Regions from separate parts of the Mus musculus genome. Here regions 2, 3, 4, 5, 6 and 7 are each reported to be linked to region 1. The links are microRNA targets in miRTarBase. Many come from high-throughput screens and were not tested one by one. Region 1 holds a microRNA gene; each other region holds the end of a gene's coding sequence.
Evidence for each region. The annotated mature microRNA mmu-miR-211-5p reads UUCCCUUUGUCAUCCUUUGCCU and lies in region 1 at 2,187-2,208, opposite strand. An mRNA with a match to its seed (bases 2 to 7 or 8) in the 3' UTR can be bound and repressed. Matches are read on the target gene's strand: a 7mer-m8 pairs with bases 2 to 8, a 7mer-A1 pairs with bases 2 to 7 and ends in A, and an 8mer does both.

Region 1 (4,132 bases):
CGCCCATGTGACCCAACTCTGGTAAAGAATCCAACACAGGGACACCCGGCCAGTTTTAAAAGCATTGCTATGAAGGCTCCTTTTCTGCCTGCCTAGGTGTGAAATGCTAGGGGCTGTCTTCCAACAATGATCCAGTATAAGGAGGGCTGGACTGAGCCAGAGGGGAATTCAGCCCAATCTAGGGCCTCTCCTCTATCAGTAAAGCACTGCTGGACCATTCATTAAAGCGCCATCTCTCAGGTGACCAGTTGTAAAAGGATCAGGACCTCACTTATCTCAAGAAGAGCAACAGACCTGAAATATAAGAATAGATTTGGCTTTTACGTAGTGTTTGGGAAGTCAAAGAGGCACTCGTGTGGTAGTCTGCTCTTGTTGCTGCCTCCAGAGCCTCGAATACGGGAGAAAAGGTTGAGCATCACCCGTCCCCAAGACATCTTCCAAGACCAAATATTTGGATTGGAGATGATCATTGGTAAAGGGTATGCAAATATGTCCAAAATTTATAAATCCAAGACTAAAACACTTCTGGCCCCAGGATATTACCTTAGGGGTAAAAGCGTGGAGTACTATTAGCCCATTGCCAATGGCTTATTTCCAGAGTCTACTCTGATTTAAAATAAATAAATAATATAATTCTTCAAGGGCACAGTAGGAATAGACAAATTTTTGGTGATAGATCCAGCAGGAAGTGATGGGAGAATTCTGGAAGCTGAGATAATACTGGGGGGAAAGTGCTGGAGAGGAGGCTTCGTGACAAACTTGCCTACTTCAAAATGTCATCTCTGCCTGGCCAGAACATATTATAGAGTTGTTCCTAGGCATCTACTAGGGATTGGCTCCAGAACCTTATAACATCCCCCTGGACACCAAATTCAAGATGCTCAGGACTCTTATATAAAATGATGTAGCAGCTGCATGTATCTTCTCCTGTGTGCCTCAAGCCATCTCCAGGGGACTCATAACGCCTGGCATGATGCAATGACATGAAAGTAGTTATTATATTGTGTTTCTGAGGGATAGCAACTGGGAAAAAACTCCATACACATTAATTAAAGACAGAATTTCTCTCCTGAATGTTTTTCTGTCTGTGACCAGTGAAGTTTTGGGCTTTGGACCTTGGCAACACCCAGGCTCACTGACTGCTGATCAGGTTTTGCTTGGTTTCTGTAGTTGTGAGCAACATTACAAGAGACAAGAGGAAGGAAATGTCCTTGATGTTATGGTTCTCAAGAGCTTCCGATAAAATCTGCCAGCACGGGCTATAAGAAGCCTTGAGACTATCAATGAGTGAATTCAGAGTCTCTCTTTTTCTACTTTGTTTTCCCCAGTGGATACTTAAGGATTCAGGATAACTTTGTTGTCTCCTGTTAGAAGAATTACAGTTGAGTTTATTCCAGCCAGCAAATGGTGAAGATATGGCATAGGCTAAGCCAGCAGTTCTCAACCTGTGGGTCTCTACCCCTTAGGGGAGTCACGTATCAAATATCCTGCATATCAGATATTTACATTATGATTCATAAGAGTAACAATGTTGCAGTAATGAAGTAGCAACAAAAATAATTTTATGGTTTGAGGGGTCACCACAACACAAGTGACTGTATTAAAGGGTCAGAGTATTAGGAAGGGTGGGACCCACTGGGCTAAGCCATGAATAAGAAATAGTGGAAAATGAAGCCGGGCGGTGGTGGCGCACACCCTTAATCCTAGCACTTAGAAGGTAGAGTCAGGCAGATTTCTGAATTCGAGGCCAGCCTGGTCTACGGAGTGAGTTCCAAGACAAACAGGGCTATACAAAGAAACCCTGTCTCAAAAAAGAAAGAAAGAAAGAAAGAAAGAAAGAAAGAAAGAGAGAGAGAGAGAGAGAGAGAGAGAGAGAGAGAGGGAGGGAGGGAGGGAGGGAGGGAGGGAGGGAGGGAGGGAGGGAGGGAGGGAGAGAGAGAGAGAGAGAGAGAGAGAGAGAGAGAGAGAGAGAAAAGAAATAGTGGAAAATGGATCAGGGTGGCATCGTCTGTCTCTGAGATTTCCATCCAAGCGTGCTTGGGATTTTTACATCGTCAGGATCATGGCGACTTCATTTCCAGAAGCAGAGAAGAACTTGCTCTTGGCTCAGGCTAGGCTTCTGAACTCTCTGCAGTAGAGGTGACCACTGAGCCCCCCTTTGCTGTCCTTGCCTCACTCAGAGGCCTAGGCAAAGGATGACAAAGGGAAGCCCACAGGTCACAGGTCCAAGCAGAATTTACAAGTCCAAAAACACTAAATCAAACTGATTTATCCACCAAGATCTGATTCTTAGGACCTCCGCACTCATGAACTCACAGTGTGGCTGGCTGCACAGGATCAAGCCGGTCAGTATTCCAGCATGAGGGTGGGGAGGAGTTGACAAATTCCCTTCTGTGGGAAGGGAGTCAGTTTTTTTTTTTAAGTGTGCGGCCCTGATAGGTTGACCACACTCTAGTGGATGCCCCCACACCTGTGATTGCATGGTCAGAACAGTAGGAGTCAAGTAGTCATTTCTTTAAAAGAGGACATGAATTCAGGGGCTGTTTGGGAGGTGGGGGTAGATCTGGCACAAGTAGGGGAGGAATAGAATAATTGTATAAAACTAAATTGTATAAAACTCTCAGAGAATTAATAGAAATAGTTTAAGCTGATTCTTGGAAATCTATAGCCTTTAGGAGTAGGCACCCCAGTTCTAACCACTTGAGTGATACCACACTTCCTTACATTCTGACATTTTCCTAGTTCTAGATTGTGGTGCACAAAGATATTCCTGGTGATGATAAGAATGAAATATTCTGTGAGATCATTTCATAATTGTCTGGCAGAAGTTTTGCATGTGGGCATTTCCCAGAAGGTTATGGGTCCTCTCATCTGGTTGGGAGCCAGTCCTTTCTCTCTAATTTATCCTCACATTTCCCCCCAGCAGTGAGCTGTGCCATCTGGACCACCAAGTATGGTGACCATCAGGAACAGATGTCCCTGTAGCCAAGTCCAAGGATTTCCTTATCTCACCATCTTAGTCCATGTGGGAGACTGAGAGCTATAGAGATATGTAATGATCCTACAACACTCATTGGGTCACAATCTGAATTATACCAAATCTTTGGGAACAAGTTTTTAGGTTTTTTTTTCCTGATAAAACATGAAGGAAAATAATAGCAGTAAGTACACTGAACAAGACCGAGGGCAACATGGTGGGCAGTGCCATCACCATGACAACCATGACAAATAGTGCAAGGGTAAGTCTCAGACCAAATTGTGAACCTGGGCAAAACATCCCATGACTGCTCTGGGAGGGTGATTTGGTAGGTGGCTAGGGCAAAGAGTTTGAGCATAGTCCATGGACCTAGCAAGAATCAGCACCCTCTGGTAATTTCCTTCTCAGCTGGTTTCCACCCTGGTAGAGTCAGTCCCGAGCTGGTGCCCATGGCCTCCCAGGACTTACTTGTGTTGATCTTCTGCAGGGAGATGTGTTTTTCCAGCTGTCTTCGAAGCTTCACCTCAGCACCATACTTGCCCAGGGTGCCGTTGTCAGCCAAGATGAAGTGAGTGTGGGAATTGTTGAGCACAGAGAGCTTGCTCAGAGGGTTGGACATGGTCTGATAGACTCTTGTTACCTGACAGAAAGCATGATGTGAATCAAAGCTGCAGAATTTAGATATTAAGTGTCATAGGAGACACAAGAAATGAGTGTAAACACACAACATATAAACTTGGTTTTGTTTTTTGATACAGGGTTTCTCTGCGTAGGCCTCTGTATAGACTGTGGGACCAGGCTAGCTTCAAACTCACAAAGATCTGCTTGCCTCTGCCTCTGCCTCTCTGCCTCTGCCTCTGCCTCTGCCTCTGCCTCTGCCTCTGCCTCTGCCTCTGCCTCTGCCTCTGCCTCTGCCTCTGCCTCTGCCTCTGCCTGTCATGAATGTTGGAACTAAAGGTGTGTGCCACCACTGCTCAGCTACCACATGTAAACTTAAGTGTCATTTCTCTACCCTACACACTGAAGGCTATTTTCTCAATTAATGTATTAAAAAAGAAAAAAACTGTTTGCTTTAGACAGTGGCAGCCCAATAATTGAACATGTATTTACTGCAGAGAAATGAAAAATAACAGTAACATAAAATCCTGAGCACGG
Region 2 (4,132 bases), not on the chromosome of region 1:
CTGTTGGATGCAAAGATGGAAAAAAAAAAATCCTCTCAGCCCCTAGTCTCAGTTCGACTCCCTCCCACTTCCCAATCCCTCATCAAAACAAACATCATGAATATTAATAATAATAATAATAATAATAATAACAATAACAATAACAATAAAATCAAGATAGGAAAAAAAAAGTGGAAAGACAAAACAAAACCAGGAATCGGAAGACTGAATTGGAATCAGTTGGACCACTGGGTGGGCTGAAAGCTGTCAAAGCATTAGTGTTCATCACTGCCATACAGAAGACAAAAAGAGTAACAACTCCAAGATGGACAGATCCCTAATTCTGCATATTCATAATTTACTTTAATGTGGAGGTGGATCAACTGTTCCAAGTTGCTTTCAAAGTCTCTTAAACCGATCCTGCACCTAAGCCTCACCGCCTTCGTGTATGTCTAGTATAGGATGAACACTTATGAAATGTTTGTGTAGTATTTTAATCCTGACTTCTGCTAAGTTTCTTTCAAAAATCCAGTGCAGGAATACCAATATCTTACCTGGGTTTGATAATTACAAAATAACAACAAGGAAAACAAAACAAAACAAAACAAAACAAAACCAACACGTTAAAACGGCCACATTTCCTTTCTCCTTCTTTTTAAAACTGGAGATACACCTGATTACTACAAAGAGGGTCAGATCAGGTTTCCGCACCAAGCAGAAAGTAGCCAGCAGCTGCTGCTGGCCTTTGGGGAGTCTTTTGCTTATTTCCAAAAGGAATTTGACAATAGCCATATTACATTACCAAGTAATGAATACATCAAAGCTGGTGAGAACATGAAATTGCAGCTTTTTCTCTGTCCGAGTGAGAACAAAATATAAAAGCACCAATTGAAAAAAAAAATCTCAAATGATTTAATTTAAAAATTTAATTTTTTGCTTTGTTTACAGAGTTGAAAAACTTTGATTCTGCTTTAGTAAGCACCTTTATGATAACATGTATCAAAAGTGCCACTCTGAAGATATCCATCAATGCGGGGAGGATTTCCAGTTCCCTAAAGAGTAAACACCATATTCTTTTCTATACGCTTCTCCTGAATGTGATCGGACGATACCTGTTTCCTATATAATAATATTGTTCCTAGGGATACCCGCCTTGGCAGACTATACAAAATGAGTGCAGAATGTATCACGGAAAGAAAATCTTTAACATGGTGAGAGACCACGTACACATGTTTTCCATCGTTCAGGGAGGAGGGGAAGTTACTGTCTTTCTTCTTTGCCCTTCTTGGAGCACCTTTGTGCCACCGCATCACAGCAAAGTCCCCGAAGAACTTTTTATGAGATTTGATTCCTGCTATTCCCCTACATTTTCAATCCACCTCCACATTTTAGGAACTTCTCAACAAATCAAAGCATTTTAGTTTTATCGCTACTGAACATATTTACAATTTTCAACACACACACATACACACACACACACACACACACACACGCGCAAGAGCACACACGCACACACATGCACACAGCTAATCAAAATGTTCATGGGTTTGTAAAAGGTGACCACGTGGTAACTATCTTATTTGTTCTTACATTTTCAGAAATGAACATAAATTTCAGATTCTTGTAGCTCACTATTTCATTTAAATGACTTTTTAAAACCACACAGTTTAAAAAAAAACAAAAAACTGATACAATGTATTAAAACACATAATAACAAGAGTCTACATGTAAAAATATAACTTTTACATACACAGTTTCAAAATAATGATAGGTTTGCCATTGGTTGCATAAAATTTACAGATGTGTTTCGTCACTATGTAACTGGTAGTTCAGGACAACAAATGGGGTATTTAGACCATTTCCGCGGAGTTATGGCATTTACTCAGTGCTGATAGGTGGAAAAACTACTTCAACAGGGATTTTTTTTTTCCTTAATACATGCCAAGATTGTGTGGCTGTCAAAACAGAACCGAGTTAGAGACAAAAGGATGCTGACAAATGCTTACGTAGGAGTCCTATGTGTTCACTGCACTACACACCAAAGTCCATTGTTGGAAAGACTTACGATGGGAATTGGTTCAATTGTGCCCAGAGTCAACGCTAGCTATCTGATGAGTTGCTGTGCCGTAGTTTGATCTATGTTTCTATCAAATGTTAAGTATAAACTTCACTCATACTGGCCAGAGAGAATACTGCGTTACCCCTCCTCACAAAAGTGCAACTTAATGCTTTAGGGCTTATAAGGCTTGTTATAATGCTGCATGATTGGTTGGCATTTTTTTTTTTTTTCAGACGAAGGAGGAGGCAGGTAAGTCATCTACTTTTTAGTAAACCCATTTTGAAAAAAAAATCAAGAAAGCAACAAAAATCAATCAGCTCTGTCACACTCCTTGCAATTTTCTCATTTGACGGTTTTTGAACTTGACTTTCTTTTTTAGTTTTTTTTTCTTTTTTTCTTTTTTTTTTTTTTTTTTAATTTTTGTATTTTTTCCAAAAAAAATCTGACCATGTATTCAGAAACGTCTCGGTCACTGCACACTACTTCGGCTACACAGGTAGGTAACACTTGAATCGTTTTTTTTGTTAAATCACAGCCACTTTGATTATGTTATGTTTCCGATGATATAAACATTGGAAGGCACAGTGGTAACATTGTAGCATTCTAACCGTGTACCTCTGAAAATCCCAGGGGAGGGTAACAAGGGCAGCGCCACAAGCCAGACAAACGCTTTTTGCCTCGCCCGGGCAATGCTGCATGTAATTCCTACACATGATGTGACTTTTAAGTCCTGTGTTCCCAAAAGACTGGAGAAACAACTTTTTACTATTTGTGAATGAGAAGCAACTTCAGGGTCAGCATTTCGTCCTGCACTGCCCCTCCGGAAGCAGAGTTGGCACTACAGGTTACGATAACAAACCGGGGGAAGGGACAAAAATCAGACAAAAAAAAAAATCCATATTTACAGTAAAATCTTTCTTTTAAAAAAGTTAATCAGTACTATTTTTTTACAGGAGAAAAAAGTCTGAAACAAATCAACAAAAGCTTACCATAGTCACTAAATTTTTAATATATATTTATATATATATTTATATATATATTTGTCATAGGTCTATAACATCCATCTGTCCCTCCTACCCTAAGGAATGGCTAATGTCATCACTTCGTTGCCATCAGGACGTTTGCTGGTTTTGTTACGAGGGCAGCCGGGCTTCCCCTATTCAATATCCGGTAATTAGAAACACTAGCTGACGTGAATACCAACAAAAACGTTCATGTCGTTTTCTTCAGAAGTACACTTTTTCATTATTGCAAGTTTACAATTTTTTTTTAAATTAAATATTTTTTTCAGACTTACAAATTAATTATATTTTTTTTTTCCAAAAGAAGTTTAGGCACAAATGCATTGCTCCACAGTGTGGGAGGATTGCCATTCAGTCTCTGGGCTGTGTCTCAGCCTGTACATACCGCTTCGCACATTCAGAGTGATATGTTAAAGAAGTCGTCCCTCAAGTTGCATTTTTTTCTTTCTTTCTTTCTTTCATTCATTTTTTTGTTTGTTTTTCTGTTTTTTGATAATTGGGAATGCTGAAACCTCTTGCGTCTGCGATTCATAACTACTCAGACTTGTCTTATATTACAAAAAAAAACGGGGTTAAGGAGCAGTGTTTATGTGGGTTTAGGGTAATACAGCTGTTAAGGAAGTGGTCTCTTGTTTAATGAAGCAAGGTAGCAACTTGGACCTGAAAAAAGAAAAGGAGAAAAAAACAATTAATATAGTGATAGAAAATTTTTTTATTATGATTTTTTAAAGTGTCCCCCCCCCCCTTTTAAGAACTAAAAATAATTGGTTAATCTGGGGAAAACCTGTTGTTTGTGGCTCATGTGCCACAGGGAACTATGGGGTAGCAGCGGAACTGTGGGGTAGCAGCGGAACTGTGGGGTAGCAGCGGAACTGTGGGGTAGCAGCAATGGCGGAAAGCTCACCCAGCGTACCTTTTCACATCTGTCCCATGTGATTCGCTGCGTCTCCCATCCCAGGGTGTGGGCCAGCCAAGGAGAGTGGGGGAGGCTCTGAGGACACCTTCTCTTCCTCCCTTCTTTTCAGACAGGCAGCTTTCGGGTTCAGATTCCTTTCTGTGGAACATGAAAGCA
Region 3 (4,132 bases), not on the chromosome of region 1:
ACATCCGTGTCTGAAATTACCTCAGCCTCCTGGCTTCCCCCACCCCCGTGGTTAATGCAGGGTTATCAAAAGAATTCAAAGACTTAATCACTATAATTATTTTGTCTTCAAAGGTATCTCAGCATGTGGGAAATATGTTCTGTAAAAAACTTCCTTCACTTCCCACCCATGCAAGGCAAGCATTTGATCAGCCAGCAGACACATCCCCTCTTTTGGACATGAGTTCCTGGAGTGATGGTTTGAGCATTCCTGGTCCCCAGGATCTACTGAGTCCTAAAAGAACTGAGCAAGACGTTATGAGAAATTAAAAACACCCAAAGACACAGATGTTCCAGATGTCACCAGCAGGGTGTGAGACCTTCAACTGGTGGACAAAAAGAGCGAGACCATGCTCACAGAATGTCTTGGAAGAAGGATCTCACCCAACAGGCTTCCTGGTAAGCCGAAGCAAACCAAGCACCAAGGTTCTGAAGAACTGCCCCGAGGAGAAAATGCGAATGGGGAGGGGAATTTACAGACTACGTTTACAAGCTACAATCCGATGATTCTGTGAAGAAAATTCTGAAGAAGTGGAGAGCAGAAACTGAAAGGGAACCTCCTTCTACTCACTCCTTCCATCGCCCAACCCTGATGGAGCAGCAGGTGCTGATGGGAGGAGGCAGGGCAAAGCTGATGAGAGACAGCACCTTATCTCCTAGCCACAGCAGCGTCTAGCCTGCAGTGGGGCCTACAAGGGGGAAGTTAGGATTTACCGGAGGGGAGGGGGAAAGTTATCTGTGTGTAACAAGTTGGAACTAGTGAGAGAGAGGTGATGATAAAGGTGGCTGTGTCCAGGCTTCCAACTTAACATTTGACAGAATGACTCCAAAGGGACACACACACACACACACACACACACACACACACACACACACACTGGCAACAGTATGATCAGAGAGGGGACTGGCTGGCAAGCATAGGAGGTCTTATTTTGAATGGTCTGAATTGTAAACCTTGAGAATGTGTCTCACGTGACACTCTCAGTTCAAGTAAATAAACCCTAGCAGAAAGCCTTTAAGATAGCCCACCCATTGTCGAGGGTGCTTGCCTTTGTATACCCCTCCCCTACAGTGTGCTGAACCAAAGAAACACACCTTCCTAAGCACACCCATAAGGCCCGGCAGGGATCCCTGCTGTGGCTTCTGTCCCATTTCTACGTCAGTTTCCCTCTCCAAGAGGCCCTGGGTGACACCACGTGACTAACCTTGACAGTGGACACCGCAGAGCTTGCCTGCCTTTCAGGTATGTGAAAGTCTTGGTCCACAGCCTAATGCCAACTCACAAGACCTTAGTCCAGGCTCTCTGCCAAGCCTCCGTTCAGTCCCTGACCACAGAACTGTTGTCGCAAACTTGCTGTTTCCAGTCACTGCTTTTTGGGGTCCTTTCACAGACATGGAGAATTGAAACACATAGATTTAACTTACTGACACAGAGAGCACAGTACTGACTCCCCGTTTGGTCTGGAAGGTGGGCATCCAAGCCCTTCCTCTAGAGTTCTCATTTAGTTTTGTTTTGGTAATTTTTGGTTTTTCTTTCTTCCATGACAAGGGTTTGGTCTCATATAAAACTTATCTATGTCATTTATGTGTTCATGCAGGTATTAGTGTGGGTTTAGACTTTGAAACTGGAAAGAGCAAACAGAGATTTGGATGAATTCAGTTGTGGACTGTGGCCATGTGTGGTGGGAGTGGAAACGAGGGGTCCCGGGAGTGGGAGGGCAAAGCGGTGGGGGAGAATCAACAAAAGAGTCTCTGCTTGAAAATCTCATCATTAAACCTAATACTTAGTATGTTAACTTTTAAAATTAATTGTTCAAAAGCCTGTCAGACCATCAAATATACTTGCAAAATTTTAGCTTAAGCTCTTTATCGTTTTGTTGAGAGACAGTCAAAAAGCAGAAAATCTCCACAACTTTCAAATTTTTATTAATTTTTCTTAAGATGGGCATTATGCTGGTAGATAACATGTGTCAAGGTTTCAATTAAAAGTAACTCGAAAAATACCTCAGGCTCTTCTCTCTTTTCTACTCGTCTAATCTTCAGTGTATAGAGCTGTCTAGACAGACGACCTACTGCGCCCAGGTTTCAGAAGGTCTATGAAAAGCCCACAGTGGGTTAGGAGATGTTGTGGTGAGAGACGAAACCTGCTGTTTACCTGGTATTCTCCGGTGGTTAAGGGATCACCTCCTACAACCCACATTATAATCTCTTGCTCCTGCTAAGGAGTCTGCTGAGCTAGCAAGCAACGGACTGATTTGAGCAGATGTGTGTCGTGCTGTTGAGAGGGAGACGCTTTGGTGTGCCAGCCATAGACTATCACCACAGAGAGCACTGTGCTTCATTTTAGAACAGACATTTAAAAAAGGAATCAGGAGATGGTAACGGAAGTCCTCCTGGCTGAGGACTCTCTCCCAAAAGAAGAGCTTGAAATAATTTGCCCACAAAACCCTCTGCTCTCCAGTTAGAGACTATTTGGGTACTTTATAATTTTTGTAAGAATAGATTCATATATTTTTATTGTACGTATCTGAGTGTCTGGTCTGGATACACATATGTGCATTGCCTGGTGCCCACAGAGGTCAGAAGAGGGCATCAGGTCCCCTGGAACTGGAGTTATGGATGGTTGTCAGCTGCCATTCTAGCAAGCGATTTTCTGCCCTCTACAAAAGCACCTGTGCCGCCCCTGCTGGGACGGAGTTAACAAAAGGGGCTACTTTGGTGAATGGGATGATTTTGAAGGGTGATTTCGCTTACATGACTGTCTTGATTGCTGGTCTGTTGCTGCAAAGAGGCAACATGACCAAGGCAACTCTTACAAAAGAAAGCATTTGATTGGGGGCTGGCTTACAATTTCAGAAGTTTAGTGTCTTATCATCATAGCATGGAGCATGGCAGCAGGCATAGCAGGATGGTGCTAGAGAAGCGGTTGAGAGTTCTACGACTGGATTCACAGGCAGCAGGAAAAGAGACCGGAGGCCTTGGCTTAAGCTTTTGAAACCCACCCCTAGTGACACACTTTCTCTGACAAGGCCTCACCTCCTAATCCTCTTTTAAAAGTGTCACTCCCTGGTGACTAAGCAATCAAGTACATGAGCCTCCAGGGCCACTCTTATTTAAACCACCACAGTTATCGCTCAGATTTTTAAATTTTCAATATTGTATGACATTTCTGTCTGTCTGTTTCTTCATCGAGGTGTGTAAGTGAAGGTCAGAGGGCAACTTGCAAGAATCAATTGTCTTCCTTTAGCCATGTGATCTTGGAGATCACACTCAGTCAGTCAGTCAGGTGGCCAGTGTCTGTACCTGCTGAGCCATCATCTCCTGGGGAAAAGTTTTAACTCCTTAACTGCTCCATTAGCCTTGATCAAACTTTACTCTGTATAAGCAAATAATCAAAGATAAATCACAACTATAGAAAACCTCCTTTGTTTGAAAACCAACCACTAAAAGAATTATCTGATAAACAGGATGTTATTACTTATGAAATATTTTTGCTCAGAGGAGTCAAGTAAATCCTTCTAAAAGCATGAGAGCTAAATAAGATCTGGTCTTCCCATGTAGGCCAGGCTGGTTCCAACCTTGCATCTCCATCTGGTAAGGCGTTCTCTCAAGTTCTGGGATTACAGGTTCGTGCAATCACTCCCAGATCTTTCTCAATTGCTGTTTCATCACAGAATGTGAGAAAGTTTTGTTTAAAGAGAGTTGTAGTCATTCACTGTACTTGTCCAGCCTCCTCTCTGGAAGATGGATCCCTCTTTACACACGTAAAAGGCCTTGATGGATGTGTCTGCTGATACCCAGGAGATGTCATTGTGTGGCTGTGAGAAGCTAATCACACGAGTAAAGGAGGTGATTCGTGTGAACTCCACTGGGTCTCAGTTTTTAATGTGCTTATAGATTGTGTGTACAGTTCCAAGAAATTATTTTTTAGTACATTTAGAATCTTTGGCTCGTTTTCAGGAGGTTTTTATTTTGATAGTTTCAATTTTTTAAGTGTACTAAACTGATGGTTAAACTTAATTAATGATTAGTTTATGCCCAGCGTTAAGAAGATACTCTCATCAAACATAACAAGGCAAGAGCTTCAAGCATCT
Region 4 (4,132 bases), not on the chromosome of region 1:
TTCCATGTCCCTGGCTAAGCCTCAGCACCTCATGCTCATCTTGACCCTTTCCCACTCTAACTGCAGGGTCCCCTTCTGGACTGGGCAGGGTCCTATTCATAGCGAGACACTTGGATGTTGTGGCGGGAGACTATCCCGAGCTTACTGACCAGCCTCAGGGTCCCTCAGCCCTCTCATAGTCCACACCCCACCCCCACCCACTAGGGCCAGCTGGAGCCCTGGTCAACTGTAAGAGCACAGCACTGGTGTGTGAGGACCCAGAGCCCTCTGCTTTCTCTCTGGGACAGCAGCATGATGGGATGTTTTTATTTGTGTGTGTGCCTGCTAGCAGTGCTCTTCCCACTGAGACACACTTCAGCCAAGGGCTACTTACTGGATTTTACTTTCCATTTTGGGTTGCTTCCAGTATGTTTGAAGACAAGTGCCTTACATGTCTTACATAGTCCGGGTAGCCTGGAACCAATGAATCTGCCTCAGCCTCCCGACCGCTGAGATTACAGACGTGACCCCATCAGACAGAACTGCTGTTATTATCTTTTGTTTCATGATTATGTTAAAAACAACCCCCTAAGCCTCCTGGGCAAACAGATATTCAAGTGTCCTGTTTCCTGGCTCTCCCTACCCCTGCCCCCTCCCACCCCTTTCTTGGCAGGTACTTCAGTTATTTGTATGCTATCAGCTGATATACTTCCCAGAGAGGATAGACAAGCATCCTACATGGGATTCTCACAATCACAAGTTCTAGACCCACTGCTCCAAGGGCCCAGGAACGACTCCCTCCTGCTCAGAGCCTAGCACCTAGTGTCTTCCCTGGCCCAAAAAAAGTCCAGAGCAGATCCTCAAGGGCAGGGTTGTTGGTGAGGATGCCATATTCTTGGCATAGAGTGTTGGAGGGAAACTGGCGAACCTCCAAACCTTCACTGTGTGGCCTACATGCTCCTCTAGGGCTGGGGATGGATTCGAGGAAGAATAGGAGTTGGAAGTGGTTCCATGGGAGAGCAGCTGCCCATGGATTGCACTGTGCTTGCCAAGCATTCCTGACCCTCCCTGTCTGTCCCCTGCAGGAATGTGGCCTGCTGCGCAAGGGGACGGTGCTCCTAGCTGACAATGTCATTGTCCCGGGAACCCCTGACTTCCTGGCGTATGTGAGGGGGAGCAGCAGCTTCGAGTGCACACACTACAGCTCATACCTGGAGTACATGAAAGTGGTGGACGGCTTGGAGAAGGCAGTCTACCAGGGTCCAGGCAGCAGCCCCGTGAAGTCCTGACCACTCAGCCTGATGAGCTTCCGTCCCAGCTCCCTTCTGCACGATGACACACACTCACTCTGACCCCCTCTATGCTTCTGGGGCCTTTCCTCAGGGCCTGTGGCTCCAGATTGTCATACACTGGCACATTAAAGGTAGTGAGCTCACCATGCAAACCACTACAATACCCCTGGAAAACACCTGTGCATCAAAGGCTGCATTGAGGCCAGAGATGCAGTAGATCACAGTGCGTGCCTGGCACGCAAAACCCCTCACGGTGAATCCTCTGCACCCAAGAACAAAAAGGGAGATTTAAAAAAAAAAAAAAAGGGGGACTGGTGAGATGGCTCAGTGGGTAAGAGCACCCGACTGCTCTTCTGAAGGTCCAGAGTTCAAATCCCAGCAACCACATGGTGGCTCACAACCATCCGTAACAAGATCTGATGCCCTCTTCTGGTGTGTCTGAAGACAGCTACAGTGTATTTACATATAATAAATAAATAAATCTTTTAAAAAAAAAAAAAAAAAAAAAAAAAAAAAAAAAAAAAAAAAAAAAAAAAAAATCAAAGCAGGTGTCATCCTGATGGCCTCACTAACTGGAAGAGGAGATTTTTTACAAAGTTTCAGTGTGGGATCCCTAGGCACTGCCATCACTCAGCAAGAAGTCAGGAAACTGAACATATCCAGATACCATTCGGCTGTCACCAATGGCAGCAACGACTCAGACGGTACTGTCACCAGCAACTCATACCACATTTCATCTTAAGAATGAGTCACAAACTTTTCAGGTATGATGGCGCATGCCTTTAATCCCAGAATCCAGGAGGCAGAGGCAGATGGATCTGAGTTCTGTGCCAGCCTGGTCTACACAGTGAGTTCCAGGACAGCCAGGGCTACATAGAAATACTTTGAAAAAAAAAGTCATAATCTCTTTTATATTATAAAAGAAATTAAAGATCTAAATATTTGGATATAAGAAATTCACTGAGTTATTCTTTTCAGCTACCACACTGCTCTTACTTGGCGCAGAACAGCCTTTGTACTCATCTCTGACTAAACAGGCATGGGGCCACGCTGTCCCCGATGTCTCTGGGATAAACAGTCTCTCCAGTTCACACCATTGAGGCATGTCTGCCAGGCACCCAGATTCTGAGGAAGTGCCAACCCAAGCTTAAGAGTCACCCTAGCCCCCATCTCTTTCAAGAGGCTCCTCAAGGCCTCAGTAGGGGCCCATTTCCTAGACTAGAAACAAAGGTCAGCTCCATCTTGTCTGCTCCCACATATGCCCATATTGGTCAGCCGGCACACAGGAGCCAGGAGTGACAGCAGTGGGACGTGCCTGAGGCCAGGGGCAGAGCACAACCCCCATACCCCTTCCACCCCCTCCCTGCAATGGGACTTGAGGGAACTGTATCTTCACCAGGGGGCAGTGGTGGCTCAGCTAGCACAGGACTGTGCCCTCTCCTGGTGAGCCAAGGCAGAAGACAGGCAGTTCTTTGCTGCTTTTTTAATCTTTAAATTTTCTTACAAAAATTTCAATTTTTGTTGATAGTCTTATTTTGGTTTCATTTTTAATGCATTTTGTCAGTTTTCTTCATTTTAAAGTCACAAACAGCAGGCACTGAACAGCAGTTCCCCCCACTGCTGCCGGCAGTCAGGCCCCGAGGTTACTTGAGGTTCTAGGCAGATGCAACAGCCAGGGTGGCCCCAGCCACAGGCAGCTTAGGAGGAGTATGCTGCAGAGGGAAGGTGTTCCAGGAATCCAAGGATGGGGGTGCTGGTGACAAGCACAGCTTGCCACTACCCCCAATCTGGCTGCCTCCTAAACTTCCCTGTCTGGACTCTTTTAGAGCAGCCCTCCCTGTGGTCAGCCTACATGCAGTGTAGTACTCCAGCCACCCTTGGGAGCCCAAGTTCTTTTCCAAGGCCCCCTACTTGTCCCATTGCCTGCTCCAGGACCTCCAATCCAGGCTTGTATTTGCTCCTCTGTGGCTGTGCATGGGGACCTCCCCCCAGCCTCCTCTCCTACCACACAGCACCATGTCAGTAAACAGCTAACTCAGACCTGGAGAGTTAGAGCAGAAGAGTAGAGAAGAGGGTAGGGTAAGGTAGGACAAGAGGCTTGGCCACCCTGCCACAGCAGGGTGGGGCTCCTGGCTCCAAGACTGGTTCTGCTCAAGATGGCGGGCCCTCTGGCCCTCTTCCAGCTACCTCGATGCGATCCCTAAGAACAAACAGCTGGGCCAGGGCCCTGCAAAGGAAGGCAAAGACAGATGTTTAGTCGGGAGCCCAGATAGATAAGAGGCAGCAAAGTGTAGCAAGGTGACTTGGGACCTCCATACAGGGAGCTGCCTTGATAGGCCATACAGAAGCAGTAGCTGTGGAGTGAGGGATGGGCCATACCAAGACCCTTGACACCAGAACCAGTCCTGTCTTGCGGGTCCTCACAGGGCCCTGTGCTGGGGGTATTTGAGGAAATAGGGGGCCTGTTTCCCCAGGACCCTGATCTCCAGAGACCGGAACAGGGCTGTTGTCAAGTCCTGCCAGAGATCACATAGGGAGCTCAGTCATGCAGCAAGCAGAGATGAACACGGAGCCCTAGTCCAAGGATGGGCAAACCAGAGGAAGGAACGTACCAGGCATGCAAGCTAGACCCAGGAGTCAACAGGCTGAGGCTTAGTGTCCCCCACGGCGTCCACCAGCCTGACCGAGGGCCTGCTGGGCCCAGGCGGAGGGGCCTTCCTGCCAGGATCGGGCTGCAGTGCATGGTGGGTGGGCAGACAGGAGTTAGAAGCAGAAAATAAAAGCAGGTTAACTGCAACTAAGGGTAGGCTAGACTGGTTCAGGCTGATTGATGTATATAAGGAAGGGGTGGCATGGAGGGC
Region 5 (4,132 bases), not on the chromosome of region 1:
GCTTCACTGCAAAGATGAAGAGACAAAGGTTCATTGAGGCAAAGCGGCGCTCCCGGAAGTAGGTCTGCTGATTGCAGTTCTGGTTTCTCTTCTGCCAACACAGAATGGCATATATCCTCTTTCCTCCTGTTTAGATCAAGGATGAGTTAAAAGACCACAGGGAGACACCTCTGAGAAATGTTCTTTCCAGGTACACAAGGCTATGCATTGAACACTGTTAGATATCTCTTAGGACCAGGGATGGAGCCTATGGGGAAAGCAGCTGTCTAGTCTGCATGAAGGCCTGAGACTACACTCTCAGCATTACAAATGGAAATAAACTGGTTTTGGGGGTTTTGTTTTTTCTTTTCTTATAGGAGTCATTTTATCAGCCATCGTCTCTACGGATCCCCAAAAGCTGCCTTTTTTACTCATTCTGGATGCCAAAAGTTTTACGGAACTGGCTCGCGCCTCTGTTGATGCGGACATGCACCTGGACCTTCATGGTTTATTTATCCCAGATGCAGACTGGAATGCAGTGAAGCAGACTCCAGCTGAAACGCAAGAGGTTGAAAACTCAGATCATCCCACAGATCCGACAGCACCAGAACTGAGCCACAGTGAAAATGACTTCACAGCGGGTCATGGTGGCTCAAGTCTTTAATCCTAACACTCAAGGCAGAGGCAAGCAGATCTCTGAGTTCACAACGGACAGCCTGGGACAGCCGGGGCTACACAGAGAAATCCTATCTTGAAAATGAAAGGAAGAAAGGAAGAGAGAGAGAGAGAGAGAGAGAGAGGGAGAGAGAGAGAGAGAGAAGGGAAGGAAGGAAGGAAGGAAGGAAGGAAGAAAGAAAGAAAGAAAGAAAGAAAGAAAGAAAGAAAGAAAGAAAGAAAGCAAGCAAGCAAGCTAGCTAGCTTCATTGGTAGAACTTAGTTGTTGACACTGTCAACGTGGACAGCATTTAGGATCTCTTAAGAAACAAACTTCTGAGCCTGTCTGTGAGAAAGTTTCTTTATTGTGTTAACTGGACAAGGAAGATCCAACCAGAACATGGGCAGCACCATCTCATCCTTTGAACATCCTTTATTTCCTGAATAAAAAGGAAAGAACCTGTCGCTGGACTTTTGCTACTTTGTGGGTTCGTTTTCTTCTACCCTTCTCCATTCCTCTTCATCTACTTATCAACCCCCTTAACACTAGGGAGAAGAGAAAAAGGATAGAGAGGAGAGGGGGCGATGATATCTTTAGACTACTTCCTGCTGGCTAGAGGTACTGATTAGAGGCATTGAGTTCCTTGGGACAAGTTTGATCTTTGCCTTCAGGATATCTAACTTCCTCTTTTCATTTCTTCTCACATGACTACATGACAAACAGCAACCAACAGCAGTTAACAACCAACCAAAAACACTACCAAACAACCACAAACAACAAACAATAGCCACCAACAACCACCACAACCAACAGCCACTACAACCAACAACCAACAGCAACCAACAACAGTAAACAACACCAACAAACAACAACTCACCTCTGGGGCCCTACATCCTCTGAAAAGTCCCCAGAATTCCAAAGGTCACACACTTGCAGAAATGATCTGCAGCTGGCAAAACCACGCCCCTGCTAGAGCACGAGGCAAATCATAGTCACCTGCTTTAAGGGAGCCCCATAGCTCCATGCCTTGGATTAGAAATAAAACATATTCCCATAATATTTATGTGTTCTTTTAGAGAAACTAAAATTCTCACTGCAGAAGCCACTTGAGCACCAGCATTCACCCCTCTCAGCTTTCTGACTGTGGATGTAACCGGCTGCCTCATGCTCCTGACATCATGCCTTCCCACCATGATAGACTGTACCCTGGTCAAAATAAACCACCACCATCCCCCCTTAAGTAGCTTTTGTTAGTTACCGTCTCCCAGCAACGGGAAAAGTAAGTAAGCTTGCGCCTTTCTGTTGTTGGAGATGGTCATCCTGCTGTTATTCTTTGTTCAAATACCACAATAAACCACAGAGACAGCTCGAGTTCCATTTTATTGGAATCCTTGTTGAAAAGGCAAGTTTTTACCAGCCAATTCTAGTATATTTAAGGCAGCCCTTTCTTTTCTTAGAAAGACCTTGAGGAACGAGAAAAATACATCGGTTGGTGAGATAACCTGAGTTCAGACACTTGCCCCCCCCCCATAGCTATCCACATAAAAACTGGACATGGCCTTATGTGTCTAGATCCCAGGCTCTCAGGAGGCAGAGGTAGGAGGGTCCCTGGGGCTTGATGGCCAGAGAGCCTACTCAGCAAACAGTGAGGGACCCTGTCTTGGAAAATAAGGTGGAGCATGATGAAGGGAAAGACCCAATGTCCACTTCCAGTCTAACACATATATGCACATGTCCTCAAGTGCACACACGTATAGGCAAATGCACTTTAAAAAGACCTTGAATGTGAATCAAGAATTGTATTAACCATGTTATTGTTCTTGGAATAAGCACCTATGAACATGAAAAAAAGGTGGGAGATCATCCCAGCTCCTTCCTCCATCCACTCCATCCTTTCTAATGGACCAAATTGTGGATGTGGCCTTTTGGCTTTCCCAGGTATGCTCTGTTTGTAAGTCATGTGGCCAGAAGGGCATGGTGCCCTGTGGTCATTCCATGCAACGGGTAGCAAAATATAAAAGAAAAAAAAAAAACACCTTGAAAGCCTGTTGAGAGCTTGTTTGATTTTCTTTCTTTCCTTTCTTCCTTTCTTTCTTTTCCTTCGAGGCAGGGTTTCTCTGTGTAGCCCTGGCTGTCTTGGAACTCACTTTATAGACCAGGCTGGCCTTGAACTCAGAAATCCACCTGCCTCTGCCTCCCAAGTGTTGGGATTAAAGGCGTGCGCCACCACCGCCCAGCTGCTTGTTTGATTTTTATGTGGCTGCGTCTTCCAGTTCTTCGGAGCCTATAAAGTGGGGCTGCAGAACTTCACCCTTCCTGGCCTGTAAGAAGTCCTATTGTATGATCAGTGATTGCAGGTTCCTTCTCTGCAGGAGGGGGGGGTCACTGAACTGGCACTGACCGGATGAGCCATGGCAAAAGGGCCACAGTTCAGGGTGGAAAACCAAAGCCAGGCTGGTCTGAAAAACCAGCAAGAGCCACATCAGCCCCCAGAAGGGAAAGGGGGTGTCCTGAGCTATTTGCACTTCAAGGTGGACTGGTATGTGGAGCAGAGCAGAAGGAAAGCCCCAAGCAAGACAATGGCTGGGATGGAGGAGCTCAGAAACCAGCCAAGTGGCTTCCCACTTGATTGCTGGGAGCCCCATGGTCATTGGCGCTTCACTGTTCGAGTCTAGTGGGTACCCAAAGCACAGGTTAAATTTATACATGCATATGTGTGTGCATGAGTGTGTCAGTAGTTCTGGTGTTACCGCTCATATAAAACTGGTACCATCCTTTGTTCACCGCCATATACTTCGTGGTCCATCAGCACAAGGATCCTCACGAGACTGCCCCTCCAACCTCTGGTCCCTACACCCTGGCAACCACCACCCATAGAATTTTGTCATCTCAGAAATTTCATCTAAAAACTGGTATCATGGCTCACACCTGTAATCCTAGTATTTGGGAAGCTGAGGCAGGAGAATTGCCATGAGTTTGAGGCCATCCTAGGCTAAAGAGTAAGACCTTATTTGAGAGAGTGACAGGTGGAAGAAGAGGAAGAGAAGGAGGACAAGAAAAAGGAGGAGGAGGAGGAAAAGGAGGAGAAGGAAGAGGGGAGGAGGAGGAGGAGGGGGAGGAGGAGGAGGAGGAGGAAGAAAGGTCCTGTAAGTGAATCATGCTGTGTTAAATCTTTTGAAGTTGGCCCTGTGCAGACCCCTCAGGCTGCTAAGTACTGCTAAATTCACTGCTCTGTTCCTAACACCTTAATACCACCTGGTGCGATGCAGATACTCAGTATTTGTTAATGAATGGATGAGTAGCTGAGTTAGTAGTTCCCCTAGCAAACATTTAACTCCACCCCAAGAGACAGACATTTCCCTAAAGAGCGGCTGCGAGCTGGGGAAGATAGACCACACACAGTTATCCACTGACATTCCTCTCCCTTAAGTCCCTGATCTATCCTGCCGCTCATGGCTCACTGCATCCTGGTCTCATCAGCCCTGTCTGTTTTCCTCA
Region 6 (4,132 bases), not on the chromosome of region 1:
TAGGAATTACCATCTGGCATCCTGTCCCATGTGCTTCTTCCAAAGACCCCAGCCAGGACCCAGAGTTGGCAGCAGTGGTCAGGGCCAGGGAGTGTAAATCTGTGCACATGATTAGGACTTCTAAAAGTGCATTCTACAAACTGAGCACTGGGGTAGGAAGCCACATCTTACTGGGACCAAAGTCCTGAAAGAACAGGAGCACATCTGGAAGCAGCCTCTCCCTCTGCCAGAGGCTTGCTGTTGTAAAGGGTCAGCACTAGCCCTCAATTGTGTTCAGCTGGGTGGACTGAGAAAGGTAGGATAGACACAAGCTCTTAGTTCAGTCCTTTTCATTCCTTGTGCAGCCCAATGACAGACACACAAGGGGTTCCAGGCCTGTTCCTCCCACACCCCTATGCACTGTGAAGCTCCCAGGAAGAGCAGGGCTCCCAGACCTGAAGATAGACAGGCAAGGCTTTCACAAAGGAGCTTGTTTTAAGGAGGCAGGGGACTATGTCACATCCTTCAGCTGTTTGTAGGCTTTTTAGAGGCAGAACTTGACTGTGTGAACCTGGAGTCTTGTGTCCAGGCTGCCTCCATTCCTCACTGCTGGTGTTCTTGCCTATGCTCTCTTGTTTTTGAGACATCCTTCCTTTGTGTCCCTGGCTGCTCCCAAATATGTTCTGCTAGAACCTCTGCAGAACTGTGATTCTACGTGTGTGCCACCACACCCAGCTATGGATACCTTTTAGTAGAGAGTTGCACGGTCCTCTTGGGTGAAATAAAGGGATATAGCTGACCCATTTCCCCCTCTAATGCAGAGGTCACACACAATGAGTCATGTGAGCTGCTGATGTCACATGCTGGAGAACTTTAGCATAGCTTCAATCTGTAATGTCTCATATTTGGATGCTGTTGTTAAATTTCTGGATTTTTCTTGTCATGTTGGCTCTCAAAGAGGGCCTGCTGCCTCAGCTTCTACCCTACCTCCAACTATCTGAAGCAGTTTCAGGAGACAGTCTTCCTCCGAGTGTGGAGGCATCTGTTTCTCTTTTGCAGGACAGGCATTTGAGTTCTTTATGGAGAGTTATATACATGTGAATGCAAGCATACTAGGGGCCAAAAGTGTCAGATCCCCCAGCGGTGGTGTTAGTTTTAGTGGCTGCTGGGAGCCCACAAGGCAGAGAGGTATGCACGGTGCTCAGCAGTCTCGGCAGCCACAGGACTTTCCTTAGGTATCTCCCTGTCCTGTTCACAAGTCCTCTGCATCTCTGAATCCTAAAGCTATTTAGAAAGCCTGCTAATGTCCAGTGACACACACTGATAAGTCATAGGATTTGGTGCCTCTGCTGCACTAACTTAATGTTGTCTGTCTGTCCTGGCAGGAGCAGATCATCAGTTTGGTCAACCAGATATGTGGCAAAGTGTCTGGCAAACACGGTGGCATCGAGAACTGTCTCAACAAACCCACACCAAAAAGAGGTCCCCGCAAGAGAGCGACCGTGGATGTGCCGCCATCTCGGCTCCCATCCTCATGAAGATGCCGAACCCATGGTCACTTATATATTTTTTGTAATTACTATATTCTAGTTTGGAGTACTTGCTGTAGGATACAAGCTGTCTTTGCACTAGCTCTAAAGAAGAATTTCTTCTGGTTTTAGAGAACTGATTTTGTTTTAGCATTAAACTGTTCAAGTTTTTGTACGTAGATATCTAGATACTGCAGTCAGGTTTGGAAGCTGCCGTACACTCACTGTCTAAAACCCTTGAGGGGCTGTATTAATTTGTATCGCCCCATGGCTGTGAAATGCCTTTTTTTTTGTTTGTTTGTTTTTGTTCTGTTTTGTTTGGTAACTGTTGAGGAATAAAGGCTTTTTAACCCATTTTTGAAGATGGTGAAGTTTGGAGAACAAATTTTAAAACCATCAGTCAGATGAGATTTTTCTAGATTGGAAAAGGGATAGAAGATACACACACACACACACACACACACACACACAGAAAAAAGAAAACTTGAAATGGCTTTACTTTGGCTGTCTTTTCTTCTGTCATGTGCGAAGGGAGTTTGTAACTTTTGGAACCGGAGAGCCCTGTTTCTTTGGCTGGGCGGTTATGGCAGCTGAAGGCAAACTGTGAGGTTTGAGTGACGAGGTTCTCATACCAGCACATCACTATGCATCCGTTCGAGGGAGAGAGAGACAAAGACAAAGACTGCCTGCCTTGGAGGGTCACTGAGGGAGACCTGTGCCTGATTTCATTAGGAAATCCATTCTGTTATTTTTTTTTGGTGCTGTTGGCTACTTTATCAAAAAAACAAAAAACAAAAAAACAAAAAACCCTTCAATAGCATCCTTGAGGAAAAGGAACAGCAGTTGACTGTAAGTGCTTCCCTGTCATCCATGTGCAATTTCCCGACATTCCACCTCCATCTCTGCTTGTGTCCCTCACATCAGCATTAATCTTTGTTTCCCTCACACTTAGAGCCACTAAGTCTGCAGTTCTTTTTGAATGTGAAACACATCTGTGCTCCTCTTGTCTATTTTTTCTCTTCATGTTTTAACAAAAAAGAAAAAAAGAAAAAAAATCCCATCCCTTTTGTACATACTCCTGTAAATTGTTTTAAATACTTGAGCCTTTTCTTGGAGGGGGAGGGAAGGGGTGAGAAGATGGAGAAAAGCCTTACGTTTCCGTTTCTTCATCGGCTGATTGGATGCTTACAGGGTTCTCTTGTGACATGTATAAGTGCTGCTTACATCACTCAACAGCAACAGAACGTGGTAGTGGAGTAGCTGTTGCCCTTCTCCGGCTGTGTGTACAGTATGTGTGGAATAAAAAAGGGAAACTGTTTTCACAAGCTGTTGTTTGTTTCATAATTGGATCAGTCCATAGCTACCCACATTGCACTGAGCTTGCCAGTGGTGACTGCCAGGAACGCCTAGGATCCACTTTGGTGGCTGTTGTTGCAGAAGACTAAACTGCTTTGGACTATTTAACGATTGCCTGACAGTCGAGTGTTTCCAATGTGGTCGTCCAGTTTCTATGGCCTTGCTGTGGACTTTCCCCTCTTTGTCGGTAACCTTTCGCCTATGGCTTACAGTTCGACATTTAATTTATTAGCGCTGCTCTGCACCCCTCCTGCCGGGAGGCTCTGTGTGGTTATTGCCAGTTCTTTGTTTACTTTTCAGGTTTGTACTACAAGGTTTAATAATAAAAAGTTTTTTGGACATTTTGTCTGTCTTGTGGGAAGGGATTGGGCTTTCTTTGGTCAGTGGGGCAGGGGCTACACATCCTCTCTTAGGCCAGGGAGCGGAGCTACAGAGGCATGTCCGTGGCACTGCTCACCACTCTGGGCTGCAACTAGGCTAGCTCATGCCCTGGGGACCTTGGGGAAGCAAGTTTCTTTCCCAGGTTGTCACCTGATGCTAGGTAAAATTAAGTTCTTCAGATCCCAATTTGACCACTATTGGTTATGCTAACAGACTCTGCCTCCCAGTATGGTAGGGCACGGTGCCCACATAGCCTGGCCTAGGTCCTATTTCCTTCAAGGCCCTCTCCAGCAGACCTCCACACCTGTGTTTCTTTAGGAACTCTTGGTCAATCAGCTCTAAGCACCTGTCAAGGCAGGGGCCTCTATACGACCCATATACTCACCAGCTGCACAGTGTTTATTCCATAAGCTTTATTGTGAGCGCTTCTCTAATGGTTCTTACATCCCATTAGCAAGTGTGTAAAATTGAAAACCTCTAAGCACCTGGCTTTGCAGGAGGATTCTGCGCACAGCTGACAAGTCACTTAAATGTCCTGAGTTGAGTCACACTGGTCACTGTCATCACTGACACCTGGGGTGGACTTTCTGTCAGTGTGTAATGTGACCAAGGCCGTGTCCACCTGTACCTCCTCCTCATCAGACTGGATGAGGGGGGCATCAGCAGTGTCCAGGTCAGTGCAGGCAGAGGGTGAGGCAGGTGGCTGGGATGCTGATTCTGAGGGACTTGGAATCTGAAGACTCATTTCATTCTGATTGGGGTTGGATTCCATCTCTGTTGAAGAAAGTAGAAAAAGCCTCTGATTGCATTTGGGAACTGCCATTGAGGACAACTGCCCGAGATCCTGTCCCTCAGCCTAGTTGTAGGGTCCACAAGTTACCTGACCA
Region 7 (4,132 bases), not on the chromosome of region 1:
GCAGTCTAAAGGAAATAGATGATGGTGTCCTCTATTTGCCTTGCTTATTATTATATAAAGAAATAATACTCAGTGTTTTTAAGGACTCGGGGATGTTATCTAGATTAGGTAAACACAACCCAACCTTTTAGACAGTAACAGATATATAAATATCATTTTACACATGCTGTTTCCACATCGAAGGATAGATATAAAGATTAACTTTTATTTTACAAGGCTTTAAAGAAACATTAAACATAACCTTAATTATACATCAATGAAAATAAATCTTAAACAAGAGTTCATGGAAATTGCATATATCCACCTATCTTGAAAACTTATCGAAGAGTGAGGGGCAGCTACTGAAAAATCCAGGTCCAGCCCATCCTGGGATTCTAATGCTCCTTGAGCCTCGCACACGAGCTCTGTCCACCAGAGAACTGAGGACATTTGCTGCGTTACTACTTTTCAGAGAGATGGCTTTCTCGTTTCGTGACAGGCAAATCAACTGGATTCCTAAGAAATTAGTTCCACTTGGCATTTTTAAAGAATAATGATGTTCAGCAATAAAGTGATCATTAAGATCAGTGCTAGCCACCCAAATGAAGCCAAGACTCTAAAAATACATATTGGCAAATAGTGTACATTAATGAACATCAGCATATATCAGTGAATTGTTAAGGCTAAGGACTATTTCAATAAACAGATTAGAGATTATCAAAGTCTACAATATATTTTTAAATGAGTGACAGAAAATGATTCAAAAATAAATTTCTGTGTTAAAGAATTATTAGAAGAATATCATAGACTATAATAGAAAACAACATTTGGATCCATTGGAAGTGCAAAGATAAAGTATTTACATGGATTCATTGTTACCCTGAGAAAGACACACTCAGGATGAACACATAGTATTTTTGCTATGGTAAATCAATTTTCATTATGGAAATGTCATTAGACTTATATGGCTACATATAATAAACAGGATTTGAAACACATGAATTGTATAATATCAAAATCTTCTTAGTCTTTTTTAAAAAGCAAAAAGAAATAAGATTGGTTACTGCCACTTACATTCACTGTTTTACCAAGTAGGTAAAGGCTTTAAAATCTACGTTATATTTTGGTCATTTAATTCAGCATGCATTTAGCTTACGCTGGCAATTTAATTATATTATTAATAGCTTAGTTGTCACTGTATTCACCTGAAAACTTCATGTTGCATGTTTCAAAAATAGTATCTTGCTCTTTGTAAAGTTTTTTTTTTTTTACAGTGGCTACATGTTTGAAAGTTTAAGTAGTCAAGACAATAAATATCCTCCCTAGTTATGTTTTAAAAATAACTAAGGTGGAATCTTTGTGCATATATTTCAAAAGCTTGGTTAGTATATTAGAAGCTACACCAAAACTTAAAGATCAAAGTTATTGCTTAGACAGTGCATGTTGTACAGTCAGTTACTCCACGTGACTGACTGCATGCGGCACTTCAGATTCCACCCAAGAGCACGTTTAAGTGTGCGGCTGGGTTGTTTCTCTCTGAGTGACCCCTTTTCACAAGAATAAAGTGAGTGAAACTGCCCCCAGAGCCTTTTAATGTGACCCTTGACATCCACAAGTAAGGAATTCCAGGGACTCACATTTGGCTAAAATTGTATATATTCTTTGAATTTCTAAGAATGAAATAAGCAATTGACTGCTTAGGATTAAAATGTATAATATTTAAACTAAAATTCCAAAATTCATCCTAATAAATACATTTGTTCTAGAAAAGTCAGCTTCCTAGAACGTTGACTCCTCGACAACAGTATTGCTTTGGGATTAGGATTGGCTTTCAAAATATAAACCAGTGTGTTTTCCCTTACCATGCCTTTCCCCAAGGAAACCTTACAGTAGTCTAGCACCTTACATCACAAACCATTGTGCACAGAGAGCAGAGGGAGAGGATAAAGCAGCTTTTGTATCGCGGTCTAACAGGCTATAAACAGTAAGTGAATTACCACTAAACCAAAGTCTACAGGGTAACATTATTTTTCAATTGGAGAGGGAAGAGACATATATTATGCTACCACATTTTTAGGTATTTTAATGCCATATTTTGCATTAGATGAATACATTTAGCTATACATATTGTCCCTGGCCCCCAATCCCATCCCTGCCCTTCTTCTTGAGAACTAAAATGCTTTAAGTTCTTCTTAGACGAAAGATAATACTACAGTTCTTGGCTTTCAGTTGTACCTGGAAGGACTGGTATATTCTCAAATGTGTATATTTAGCCCTAGTGAAAATAAAACTTGCGTATATAGAATCTAGCTTGCTGAATAATTTAGTTTTTATTATAAAAATAATAAAAATATTAGGAAACTTTTCAACTAATAAAAATGAAAGGTTTTGCAATTATAATGTATAATTGTCAATATTTCCAGTGCTTTCAAGCATTCCTCATATAACAGCAACATAGGAGTCTTTTTAGATCTTTTCAGCTTTATTCTAAAAGCTGTAAAGCTTTAAAGGAAATGTTTAGCCATAGGAAAGGAATATAAACTGAGACATATGGTAAAGGGCTGAAGGAATTCATCGTCCTCTTAGATAGTGAGTGCCCAGAGAGATGAACACTAGCAATTTATGGCTTGAAATTCTTGGGCCTAATCATCATCTTGGCCTGTTTGAAGGAGGACTTGTAGCCACCTGGCTGTGCCTGGTTTATACCAGGCCAGGTGCCCCAGAAAATCCCATTACGGACACCTTTGTATTTCTGGTGGTAATATTTGCCATTTAAGTTGGCAGAGAGACATGAATCAAACCACCAGCCTGAGCTGTAATAGAGCCCACAGTTCCCAGAGGGGTACCGATCGTTGTCTCTGTCTGGGGTTGTGAAAAACCTCAGGTCATGGTTGTAGTGTCGACTGAAACGCAAGGCATCCCCTGCCGTGCCATTGTAGTTACCGATGTGTAATCGGTATTTGAGAAATTCATTAGCCACATAAAACTGATCATACAAGGCATAAAGTGTGAGACCATTAAAGTCTTCAAGATCTATTCTCAAAATCATTTCCTTACTCTTGGTCAGAAGATGAATTTTATCGTTGCCCAACCAAAATTCTCGTTCAAGGTTTCCAAAGCCGGCTTTGTAGTCTTTCCACTCTCTGGTGAAGTTGGTGCTGCCATCAAGGCGAGCCTGCAGCACCGTCCAGCCTCCACCCATGGTCTCCATGTCACAGTAGACCTCAAAGCTGCTGTTTCTGTGATCAGGGGTAACTCTGTAGGCCCCACTGCTTCTCCTTCCTAGCACGTAGTGGTCGGAACAATCTTTGTATATTAGATGTTGAACTGGAAGAGGGAGGAAGGAAAAGCATAAAAGCATGGGGATTTATTAGTCAAAGCTATGCACCTCAAGGACTCTCAGACTCAACAGCAATTGGACAATTCACTTGCGTTACAGTTTATGTGATAGAGGAACCTGGCTCTGATACACTCTCCTGAACCAGGCTAACAGATGCTAACTAAGGCCTCAGAACCAACTGGTGTTATCAAGTATACAGGACTGCCTTGAATGGCAATCCTGGTGGCAACACTAACAGCAAAGAGTAGTAAGAATAAGTGTATGCAAGGTTTAATGAGGGTCAATGACCTCCAGAAACTCTGCCAATCACTGTAACAGTTTTCACTGAACCCACACAGCAGCCTTACGACGTGGATATCACGGCCAGCTTGCTTATACAGTTACTTAGTCTCCCGGAAGATCAGGGAGTTTTCCCACCGCAACTAAGTGTTAAGTGACAGAGCTGGGACAGAAAGCCAGATGTACCTGACAGAGAGTTTTACTCTCATAACCATTATATTCCTCTGCCTTAACGTTGAGAGGAGTCCAAGTCTCCTAGGATACAATCAGCAATTGTTACAGCAGACTTTACAGAAATCGTTATATATGTTCTAAATGTCAGCCTTCAGTGCACAGCACTGTTCTGAAACCCATTCGTATTTCACCTGAGATTGACATAAAATGATTCCAGTTTTAAAAGGGAGGGGGGGGTTCTCCAATAATATGGCAATGTTATCCTGAATTTATTATTTAGGAAGGTATACAGTCAGCCAATATTTCACAGTTTGGTTTCTAGACGTAGCAGCAGGGTGATTATAATTATGCTCAGTGTAA

Region 2: miRTarBase lists Tcf4 as a target of mmu-miR-211-5p. The part of its 3' UTR that is shown has no 7-base or 8-base seed match.
Region 3: miRTarBase lists Samd7 as a target of mmu-miR-211-5p. Seed matches in the 3' UTR shown: 8mer at 587-594 and 7mer-m8 at 867-873.
Region 4: miRTarBase lists Comt as a target of mmu-miR-211-5p. Seed matches in the 3' UTR shown: 7mer-m8 at 1,550-1,556.
Region 5: miRTarBase lists Bco1 as a target of mmu-miR-211-5p. Seed matches in the 3' UTR shown: 7mer-A1 at 798-804.
Region 6: the mRNA of Jarid2 is a reported target of mmu-miR-211-5p. Seed matches in the 3' UTR shown: 7mer-m8 at 1,934-1,940 and 8mer at 2,813-2,820.
Region 7: miRTarBase lists Fgl2 as a target of mmu-miR-211-5p. Seed matches in the 3' UTR shown: 7mer-A1 at 1,833-1,839.

What each region holds. Positions count from the first base shown.
Region 1 is chr7:64,203,907-64,208,038 of GRCm38, reverse strand. Mir211 (microRNA 211) reads right to left here and starts at 2,233; the gene lies at 2,128-2,233. Trpm1 (transient receptor potential cation channel, subfamily M, member 1) reads right to left here. Exons shown (of 27, transcript NM_001039104.2): 6 at 3,446-3,617.
Region 2 is chr18:69,682,665-69,686,796 of GRCm38, reverse strand. It overlaps Tcf4 (transcription factor 4), which reads right to left. Exons shown (of 20, transcript NM_013685.2): 19 at 3,974-4,114; 20 at 1-3,720. The coding sequence ends at 3,978. Among named protein-coding and RNA genes, the nearest start is that of Gm31439, 30 kb to the right of the region's middle.
Region 3 is chr3:30,765,134-30,769,265 of GRCm38, forward strand. Samd7 (sterile alpha motif domain containing 7) reads left to right here. Exons shown (of 8, transcript NM_029489.3): 8 at 114-2,041. The coding sequence ends at 308. Among named protein-coding and RNA genes, the nearest start is that of Gm33590, 10 kb to the left of the region's middle.
Region 4 is chr16:18,404,973-18,409,104 of GRCm38, reverse strand. It overlaps Comt (catechol-O-methyltransferase), which reads left to right. Exons shown (of 6, transcript NM_001111062.1): 6 at 1,065-2,223. The coding sequence ends at 1,268. It overlaps Arvcf (armadillo repeat gene deleted in velocardiofacial syndrome), which reads right to left. Exons shown (of 18, transcript NM_001272029.1): 17 at 3,884-4,003; 18 at 2,029-3,498. The coding sequence ends at 3,896. Among named protein-coding and RNA genes, the nearest start is that of Gm15764, 6.5 kb to the left of the region's middle.
Region 5 is chr8:117,132,618-117,136,749 of GRCm38, forward strand. It overlaps Bco1 (beta-carotene oxygenase 1), which reads left to right. Exons shown (of 11, transcript NM_021486.3): 11 at 357-1,103. The coding sequence ends at 643. Among named protein-coding and RNA genes, the nearest start is that of Gan, 23 kb to the right of the region's middle.
Region 6 is chr13:44,918,436-44,922,567 of GRCm38, forward strand. It overlaps Jarid2 (jumonji, AT rich interactive domain 2), which reads left to right. Exons shown (of 18, transcript NM_001205043.1): 18 at 1,365-3,208. The coding sequence ends at 1,517. It overlaps Dtnbp1 (dystrobrevin binding protein 1), which reads right to left. Exons shown (of 10, transcript NM_025772.4): 10 at 3,644-4,019. The coding sequence ends at 3,772. Among named protein-coding and RNA genes, the nearest start is that of Dtnbp1, 82 kb to the right of the region's middle.
Region 7 is chr5:21,374,428-21,378,559 of GRCm38, reverse strand. It overlaps Fgl2 (fibrinogen-like protein 2), which reads right to left. Exons shown (of 2, transcript NM_008013.4): 2 at 174-3,306. The coding sequence ends at 2,600. All of the region lies in intron 2 of Ccdc146 (coiled-coil domain containing 146), which reads left to right. Among named protein-coding and RNA genes, the nearest start is that of Fgl2, 3.8 kb to the right of the region's middle.